2 linked regions of the Macaca fascicularis genome follow. The protein of the gene in region 1 purifies or fractionates together with the protein of each later gene. This does not show direct contact. Links are inferred from orthologs where the notes say so. Each region holds a gene or a part of one and is shown on either strand. Other genes may lie near its edges.

What was found.
Region 2: the proteins of COPS6 (region 1) and KLHL15 purify together in Homo sapiens (affinity purification with mass spectrometry; 3 studies listed by BioGRID and IntAct, with this or other methods). This does not show direct contact. The link is inferred for Macaca fascicularis from reciprocal best matches to the Homo sapiens genes COPS6 and KLHL15.

Annotation. Positions count from the first base shown.
Region 1 is NC_088377.1:48,741,346-48,746,519, forward strand, and holds COPS6 (COP9 signalosome complex subunit 6), read left to right. Parts: upstream 1-1,915; 5' UTR 1,916-1,928; coding exon 1,929-1,998; intron 1,999-2,221; coding exon 2,222-2,347; intron 2,348-2,545; coding exon 2,546-2,677; intron 2,678-3,324; coding exon 3,325-3,413; intron 3,414-3,516; coding exon 3,517-3,579; intron 3,580-3,832; coding exon 3,833-3,880; intron 3,881-3,968; coding exon 3,969-4,083; intron 4,084-4,168; coding exon 4,169-4,261; intron 4,262-4,362; coding exon 4,363-4,463; intron 4,464-4,593; coding exon 4,594-4,734; 3' UTR 4,735-4,853; downstream 4,854-5,174. UniProt on the Homo sapiens protein: Component of the COP9 signalosome complex (CSN), a complex involved in various cellular and developmental processes.
Region 2 is NC_088395.1:23,945,771-23,950,453, reverse strand, and holds part of KLHL15 (kelch-like protein 15), read left to right. Parts: intron 1-2,222; 5' UTR 2,223-2,229; coding exon 2,230-2,934; intron 2,935-4,683. UniProt on the Homo sapiens protein: Substrate-specific adapter for CUL3 E3 ubiquitin-protein ligase complex.

The DNA of each region.
Region 1 (5,174 bases):
GGAGGGATGATTCCTGGTCTCTTCCTTGTTCTATAATTGGGAAGATGAGCTTGTAATCAACATTGTCAGTATGAGATTTCACAGAACTCGGATTAGGGCTGGTTTATAGGGGGAGTGTTTATGCTGAAAGATTTAGAGGCTAATGAGGAATTTCCTGGCAAGCAATTTGTGAGGGAGACCATCTAGGGAGGTATATGCCCTTTGCCATTGTAGGAACCTGGCTTATGTATGAGGCTATGACACAGGGTTGTGGAATTACAGCTATCTGGGAACAAAAAGGAAGGGAGTTTTGCCTCAGTTCCCAAGCATAAATTTCTTCAGCATGCCCCCACCATACCCAGCTAATTTTGTTTTCATTTTTTGTAGAAACAAGGTCTCACCATGTTGCCAAGGCCGGTCTCAAACTCCTGGGTTCAAGTGATCCTCCCACCTTGGCCTCCCAACGTGCTGGGATTACAGGTGTGAGTCACCATGCCTGGCCTTGTGGAGTTATTTTATTTATTTATTTATTTATTTATTTATTTATTTATTTATTTATTTTTGAGACGGAGTCTCACTCTGTCTCGCCCAGGCTGGAGTGCAGTGGTGCGATCTCAGCTCACTGCAGCCTCTCCCTCCCAGGTTCAATCAATTCTTCTGCCTCAGTCTCCCGAGTAGCTGGGACTACAGGCACATGCCACCACGTCCGGCTAATTTTTGTATTTTCAGTAGAGACAGGGTTTCACCATGTTGGCCAGGCTGGTCTCAAACTCCTGACCTCAAGTGATTGGCCAGCCTCGGCCTCCCAAAGTGCTTGGATTACAGGTGTGAGCCACCATGCCTGGCCTTGTGGGGTTATTTTCGAAAGTCCTTGAGACAGTCCCTATATCAGACATGCAAGCATGAGCCCTTCTGCTTGGTGTTCTCATGACTCCAATTTGTTTGGACTTGACAATGTGATTTTTGTCCTGGTATCTGCAACTTTCACAAGATGGAGCAACTCAACACCAGATTCCATCCCAAATTATTCCTTCATTCACTCAAAAAGTATCTAGGCACCAATGTGTTAGGTACCGTGTTGGTCACAGGGGATACCACGATGAACAAGAGAAGGAAACACAGGCTCCTGAATGCGAGAGTGAGGCATGTGGAAAGCAGACACGGAGAGCTGGGTGTGGTGGCTCATGCCTGTAATCCCAGTGCTTTGGGAGGCCAAGGATGGAGGATCGCTTCTGTCAGGGAGTTGGAGACCAGCCTGGACAACCTAGTGAGACTCCTGTCTCTATCAAAATAAAAAAATAATAATAAAATTAGCTGGGTGTGGTGGGGTGCACCTGTAATCCCAGCTACTCGGGAGGCTGAAATGGGAGGATCACTTGAGCCTGAGAGTTTGAGGGTGCAGTCAGCTGATATCAGGCCACTGCACTTCAGCCTGGGCGACAGAGCGAGACCCTGTCTCAAACAAAACAAAACAAACCACCACCACCAGACATGAGGGCCAGTGCAGCTGTAGCCTGAAGATCAAGGGCTAGAAAAGTAGAGGCCAGACCGGGGCCAGATCAGGCAGGGCCTTGCAGGCTGTGGTTAGTTGTCTGGATTTTATTGTGAGGGAAATAACACGACATGTCATTCATTCTGCAACAGCCTTAAGAACTAGGAGTTCTTATCCCAATTTTACAGACGAGGACGATCAATCAAATCGTTAACTAATTTGTCCAAGGTCACCCGCAGGCGACAGGCGGGGACAGGGTCTGGGAAAACCGGCAGGCACCGAGGCCCAGAGGGCGTCGGGCTTCCCCGCACCGAGTGCCGCCCGCCGCGACCCGGGAACTGCCTGCTCCCCGGACGCCAGGCCCGCCGCTTGCCGCGGAGACACAGAACATGCGCTGCTCGCCTTACGGAAGCCGGGAAGGAAGGGGGCGGGGCCGAGGCTGGCGGGCGCGGGGAAAATGGCGGCGGCGGCGGGTGCAGCTACAAACGGGACCGGAGGGAGCAGCGGGATGGAGGTGGATGCAGCAGGTAACGGGCCGTGCGCGGGCGGCTTCCGGAGACCTCCTTCAGGGGTGCGTTGAGGCCTTGCTGTGCTCCCGGGAGAAGGGAGGAGGGCGGAGCAGCAACATCTTTCTCTGGGATAAGTTGCGGGAGGAAAAGTGTGGCCCGGGCTCCGTCGTCCCCCACTGCTATCTTCAGGGAAGAACGTGGGGCCCGGACTCTCACCCTCTCTCTTTCCCTCCACCCTTAGTAGTTCCCAGCGTGATGGCCTCCGGAGTGACTGGGAGTGTTTCCGTCGCTCTCCATCCCCTTGTCATTCTCAACATCTCCGACCACTGGATCCGCATGCGCTCCCAGGAGGGGCGGCCTGTGCAGGGTGAGTGTTGGGCATAGACTCCAGTCTCCTCTCCTTGCTCACCTCCCCCAGACAGTGGTCTTTTCCCCTTCCTTTACTAGATCCAATTCCCCTCCCCCAAATCATCGTTTCCCCAATACTTGGTTCCCACTCATCTCAGACCCTCAGGTCATAGAAGTCTCTTTAACGTTACCTTTTCCATGTCATTCTCTTTCCCAGTGATTGGGGCTTTGATTGGCAAGCAGGAGGGCCGAAATATCGAGGTGATGAACTCCTTTGAGCTGCTGTCCCACACCGTGGAAGAGAAGATTATAATTGACAAGGAATATTATTACACCAAGGAGGAGCAGTGTGAGAGTGGAATAGATGTGGGGAAGAGGAGTGGGAGTTAAAAAAAATGTGCAAGGTGGGGAAGATGGAGAGGGTTGGAAAGAAACCCGAGAGGACGCCAAGAACAGAGGAGAAAAAGTGAAGAGAGTAGCTGGAGAGATCTCAGAAAAAGAACACGTTCAGAGTTCTTTCTCAAAAAGAAAGTAAAGGATGAGAGAAGACAGGATAGAAGGGAGTAATTATTCTAAACTGAGCCAGGATTTGAGAAAGGAGGAGAAGCTGGTGAAAATACACCAGGAGTTTCACATTGAGGAAGGATGGTTTAAAGGACTATGTCAGGCCGGACGCAGTGAATCAGGCCTATAATCCCAGCACTTTGGGAGGCCGAGGCGGGTGGATCATGAGGTCAGGAGTTACAGACCAGCCTGGCAAACATAGTGAAACCCCATCTCTACTGAAAATACAAAAATTAGCCTGGCATGGTGGTGCGTGCCTGAAGTCCCAGCTACTCGGGAGGCTGAGGCAGAATTGCTTGAACCTGGGAGGCAGAGGTTGTGGTGAGCCAAGATCGTGCCACTGCACTCTAGCCTAGGCAACAGAGCAAGACTCAAAAAAAAAAAAAAAAAAAAAAAAAGAATTACTGTGTGTTCTGGCCCTTTCCCCTCCAGTTAAACAGGTGTTCAAGGAGCTGGAGTTTCTGGGTTGGTATACCACAGGGGGGCCACCTGACCCCTCGGACATCCACGTCCATAAGCAGGTATACATGCTCACACCTGTGCATGCTGGGGCAGAGAATGGAGAATGAGGGGAAGGAGAAAGGTGGGGGTCACTGACTTCTGTGCATTGTCCCTCTCTTCCAGGTGTGTGAGATCATTGAGAGCCCCCTCTTTCTGAAGTTGAACCCTATGACCAAGCACACAGATGTGAGTAATACCCCATGCCTACTCTGTCGTGATTGTCACTGTTGCCTTTTACTGTGTGATACTCTTCTATTGGGGAATGCCAGGTGCCACTTACCAGCTGTAACTCTGTCTTAGTCATTTCATCTCCAAACTGTGAAGGGAGGTAATCCCTACTTCACTGGTTTCTTGGGAAGATGAGATGAGAGGAAATGGGTGAAAGCAGCTCGTCCAAATGTTGGCATATAGTGTTCAGGTTTCTCCATCTCCTTCACAGCTTCCTGTCAGCGTTTTTGAGTCTGTCATCGATATAATCAATGGAGAGGTAATACCCTACCCTTGAACCCTCAGATCCTGCTTTTGGCCTCTTTCCTGCTTTTGATTCTCCCTTTGTGGGTTACCTTGCCTTGTAGGCCACAATGCTGTTTGCTGAGCTGACCTACACTCTGGCCACAGAGGAAGCGGAACGCATTGGTGTAGACCACGTAGCCCGAATGACAGCAACAGGCAGTGGAGAGAACTCCACTGGTAATGGAGGGGATTACTTGGAAGTGGGGTTGGAAGGTGTGGCCACATCCCGTCTCAACCTCCTCCTGTCCTCGTCCCTTTGCAGTGGCTGAACACCTGATAGCACAGCACAGCGCCATCAAGATGCTGCACAGCCGCGTCAAGCTCATCTTGGAGTACGTCAAGGCCTCTGAAGCGGGTAGGACAGGGGCTTCCTTGGGCACTTCCCTGGCATTCTTCCTCTCCCTCCTGGGGAAGTGACAGCATCCAAACTAATGCAGCCTCTTTTTGTGCCTTTAGGAGAGGTCCCCTTTAATCATGAGATCCTGCGGGAGGCCTATGCTCTGTGTCACTGCCTCCCGGTGCTCAGCACAGACAAGTTCAAGACAGATTTTTATGATGTGAGTTTAAAACCTGGATGGGGAGGTGGGGCTCATGCTGTCACTTTCACGTGGAGGACCGGGGACTGTTGTTCCCTGGGCATGCCACGAGGGATCCCCTGAGGAATTTGTCCTTTCTGTTCCCTCCCAGCAATGCAACGACGTGGGGCTCATGGCCTACCTCGGCACCATCACGAAAACGTGCAACACCATGAACCAGTTTGTGAACAAGTTCAACGTCCTCTATGATCGACAAGGCATCGGCAGGCGAATGCGCGGGCTCTTCTTCTGAGGAGGGTACTTGAAGGGCTGATGGACAGGGGTCAGGCAACTGTCCCAAAGGGGAGGGCGCTACACTTGAGAGAAACCGCTGTCATTAATAATAAAGGGGAGCAGCCCCCGAGCACCCCTGCTGGTGGCTCTGTCCTCTCTGTTAGGCACCACACTGGTTTGTCAACTTGGATGTTCATCGAGGTTCATCGTGAGCCTTGCTCACAAGCCCTTCTGATGCTTTTCCATGAGGGAGGCACTGCCGTTTCAAGTGACCCCGTGTCAGTCACATGGACTGTCGTTAGCATCCAAGGCTGCCTGCTTCCACCTAAGCGGTCTCTGTTCTACACTTTAATGTCACTCTTGACGACATCTTATACATAGCCCAGCCCTATAAACATGACAACTGACTACTTTCCCGAGCGAAATTAACTTTTCACACATGCATAAAACAAGAGATAG
Region 2 (4,683 bases), on another chromosome or scaffold:
GTGCTGGGATTAGAGGCGTGAGCCACCACGCCCGGCTAAGCTGTGACTTTTAGGAAAACTATGTCTCATTTAAATAAAGTTGAGGAGGGAACTTTCTGTGACCAACCTGAGCATGTAGGGGAGTTTGTTTACATTGAAGTAAGGTTCCACGGGGCACAGTGGAAAGGTTTGGGAGGGAATTCAGGGATGGAGGATGGGTCATTGGGGAAGAAGCTGGGAGCTGTGTAAGGATGAGAATTAAGAAGATAGATGGCCTGGGAGGGGGTATGTAAAAAGGAGAAAATTAATTTGCTTCATAAATAGCCCAGTAGACTGAATTAGTGACTGGGCGCAGTGGCTCATGCCTGTAACCCCACCACTTTGGGAGGCTGAGCCAGATGGATCACCTGAGGCCAGGAGTTTCAGACGAGCCTAGCCAACATGGCGAAACCCGTCTTCACTAAAAATAGAAAAATTAGCTGGGTGTGTGGCAGGTGCCTGTAGACCCAGCTACTTGGGAGGCTGAGGCATGAGAATCACTTGAACCCAGGAAGCAGAGGTTGTGGTGAGCCGAGATTATGTCACTGCACTCCAGCCTGGACGACAGAGCTAGAGTCTGTCCCCAAAAAAACAAAAAAGTAGACTGAATTAGTTTATTCTGCTGTATTTAAGAGATCTAATTATAGTTCTCTGCTGTTTCACCTTCATTTCTCTGATACGGAAAGATTTGGTTTAATTTCCTTTAAAATTATATATTTGTATTTTTAAATATATATGCATCACATTATTGTTTTTCAAAGTAAGGGTAATGAGGTAAATGAAAAGAAAGCCTCTCCTGAAAACCCACTACCCAGGGACATTATTTTGGTACATATTTCTCCAGACTTTTTCTCAGCTAACAAATAATATGTGTGTTTAGTTTTTGAAGATGTACTCAGTATACTGCGGTCACTTGCTTTTTTTTTCCATACAACATCTGGTAAATATTCTTTGTAAAAATAGTTAAACTGTTGGCATCATTTTAAATTGTTAAAGTAATTTATTGTAGGACCGTATTATGTTTTAATAATTTGTTATTGGACTTTTGAATAGTTTCTAATTTTTTAATAATAAGCCTAGATAGAAAAACCTTATATGTACAACTTGGCTATTTATTTGAATATTTCCTTTAGGTAAATTTCTAGGAGTTTTCAGGTATACTTTTTAGTTTCATTTTTGTCCCTTTTCTCATAATTTAGTGTTTGGCTGTGAAATCCTTTTTATGTTGCTAATTTTGGAACATATTTAAAGTATATTTGATTAACAGTATGAAATCAATGGAATAGGCATATATTACTTGTAAGATAACAATTTACCATTGTTTGACATATATATGTGTGTGTGCGCATATATATTTTTATGTATATTTATTTATTTATTATTATTATTTTTTTTTTATTTTGGAGATGGAGTCTCGCTCTGTCTCCCAGGCTGGAGTGCAGTGGCGTGATCTCGGCTCACTGCAACCTCCACCTCCCGAGCTCAAGCGATTCTCCTGTCTTAGTCTCCTGAGTAGCTGGGACTACAGGTGCATGCCACCACACCTGGCTGCTTTTTGTATTTTTAGTAGAGTCGGGGTTTCACCATATTGGTCAGGCTGGTCTTGAACTCCTGACCTCAGGTGATCCACCCACCTCGGCCTCCCAAAGTGCTGGGATTACAGGTGTGAGCCACCGCGCTTGCCCGACATATGTACATATTTTTAAGAGATAGGGTGTTGCTCTGTTGCCCAGGCTGGAGTGCAGTGGTGCTATGATAGCTCACTGTAGCCTCAAACTCGTGGGCTCAAGGGATTCTCCCACCTCAGCCTCTGAAGTAGCTGGGGCTGCTGGCAGTGTGCCACCATGCCCAGCTACTTTTTATTACTATTATTATTATTTCATAGAGACAGAGATTTGCCATCTTGCCCAGGCTGGTCTCCAACTCCTGGGCTCAAGCGATCTTCCTGCCTTGGCCTCCCCAAGTGCTGGGGTTACAGGCATGAACTATTGATGTATCTTTAATAGATTCTTTTCCTTAGGTAGGAAAGCCAAAAACATTAGTCTGCAAACCTTCAGTTTGTCTTCTCCCAAAGGACTTGTACATTTTGGACTTAGGTAGTGGAATTGAGATAATAGCAAAAATTGTTAAAACTCCAAGTTAATATTCTCTTCTGAATGCATAGAAGTGTTTAACATTGTTGTCTTTGATTACTTTTTTTCCAGGTGATTCATGGCAGGGGACGTGGAAGGATTCTGTTCCTCCATCCATGACACCAGTGTCTCTGCTGGGTTCAGAGCACTGTATGAGGAGGGATTGCTTCTTGATGTCACTCTGGTTATTGAAGATCATCAGTTCCAGGCCCATAAAGCACTCTTGGCCACCCAGAGTGACTACTTCAGAATTATGTTTACTGCAGACATGAGGGAACGAGATCAGGACAAAATTCATTTAAAAGGTCTAACAGCTACTGGTTTCAGCCACGTCCTGCAATTTATGTACTACGGTACTATAGAGCTGAGTATGAATACCGTTCATGAGATTCTTCAGGCAGCCATGTATGTTCAACTTATAGAAGTGGTGAAGTTCTGCTGCTCTTTTCTCTTAGCGAAGATCTGCCTAGAAAATTGTGCAGAAATTATGAGACTCTTAGATGATTTCGGCGTAAACATCGAGGGAGTCAGGGAGAAGTTGGACGCCTTTCTGCTAGACAACTTTGTGCCACTCATGTCTAGGCCTGACTTTCTGTCCTATCTGAGCTTTGAGAAGCTCATGTCTTATTTGGATAATGATCATCTGAGCAGGTTCCCAGAGATAGAGCTGTATGAGGCTGTGCAGTCTTGGCTGCGGCATGATAGAAGACGCTGGAGACATACCGATACCATCATTCAGAATATCCGGTTTTGCTTGATGACCCCAACCAGCGTTTTTGAGAAGGTTAGTGTGTTTGAAAGTAATAGACGGTACTCATCATTTAGTTAAGGCAGTGTATGTCTTTATAGGTAAGATTCACAGACTTAGTTAGGAGCCAAGAATGAATAACTTATAAGAGTACTTTATGTGTAAGAAGCCTGATTTTTTGTGCATTTAGGTTTTCTGAAATACATTTTGTGGGTGAAAGATAAACCACGTAGGTAGTAGAATAGTTTTATTTTAAAAGTACTTTTAAAGTTGAAGCATAATTATTTTATGCAAAATATTACATGTTTGCTGTAGCTTTTCATTTCACAAATTAAATCAGAACCGAGTCAGACTAGATCTCTTTTTAAAAATAAATTTAACTAATACATGCAGAAATTGGCATTGAGAAGAGTTCTGCATGGTATACATTAATAGAGTTTCTTATTCTTCTAAAATATAGCAAGGACATACAAAATAGCTCTTGAAAACCAATAGGCCCTAATGGTGATTTTCTTCCCTACTCTTACTTTCTGGTTTTCCCTGTTCTACTGTGAATAGTAACTAAATTTGACAATGAAAACATGTTATGTGTCTAAAAACATCATTTTGGCATTTCTAAACAAGTAGACTATAAATCCTCTGTCTACATTGATCAACCATCCCTGGGCACATTTTACCATCTCTTAAAAATAGTCTTTCTCTGAAACAGCCTTGCCCTTTTTTTGCATGTAAGCATGTTCATTTTTATAGAGTTTCACTTGTGATCCTTTCTTGCCCAAAGGTCATAGAGCAGATTTAGTAATTGCTTAATAACTTAATTGGTTTCTAATCACATGGTTACCTCTGGGGCTCTGTTTACTTCTTGCATCTCCTCTTTTTTCTAGAAAGCACACTGAAAACTTGGTCGGTCACCTTTCATGTTAAATAGTTCCTCAGCTTTAGTTATTAGACCTGGTTATAAAAATATCTGCAAAGGAGGGTTGTTTATGCCATTTGAAAAATAAACCCATTTGCGCCTTTGAATAACAGCAGCCTGACATTTTTTTTCCTCCAAAATGCTGTGAAACTGAGAATTCAGTTTTGTGGATTTTTATCTTTTATTCTCAGAATGTATTGATACAGCAAAAATAATTGAAACTAAAGTATGTGTGTATATATATATATATATAATGTTTTTTAAAATTTGAGATGGAGTCTTGCTCTGTCGCCCAGGCTAGAGTGCGGTGGTGCGATCTCGGCTCACTGCAAACTCCGCCTCCCGGGTTCAAGCGATTCTCTTGCCTCAGCCTCCCGAGTAGCTGGGATTACACAGGTGCCCGCCACTGCGCCTGGCTAATTTTTGTGTTTTTTAGTAAAGACAGGGTTTAACCATCTTGGCCAGGCTGGTCTCGAACTCCTGACCTCATGATCCACCTGCCTCGGCCTCCCAAAGTGCTGGGATTACAGGCCTGAGCCACCCCCCGCCCAGCCAAGAATATATTTCTTAATTATTTTTGGTTTAGTGATAATCATCCCCACATCAATTATGTAAATCATTTGTCTCTGATGTTTTGATTTTTTTTTTCCTTTTGTTTTTATTGCTTTCTTTCCCTGGGGAATCCTGTTTTGTTTTGGGTTTTTTTTGGTTTTTGGTTTTTGGTTTTGAGATGGAATCTCAGTCTCGCCCAGGCTGGAGTGCAGTGGTGTAATCTCGGCTCACTGCAGCCTCTACCTCCTGGGTTCCAGCGATTCTTCTGCCTCAGCCTCCCGAGTAGCTGGGATTACAGGTACCCACCACCACGCCTG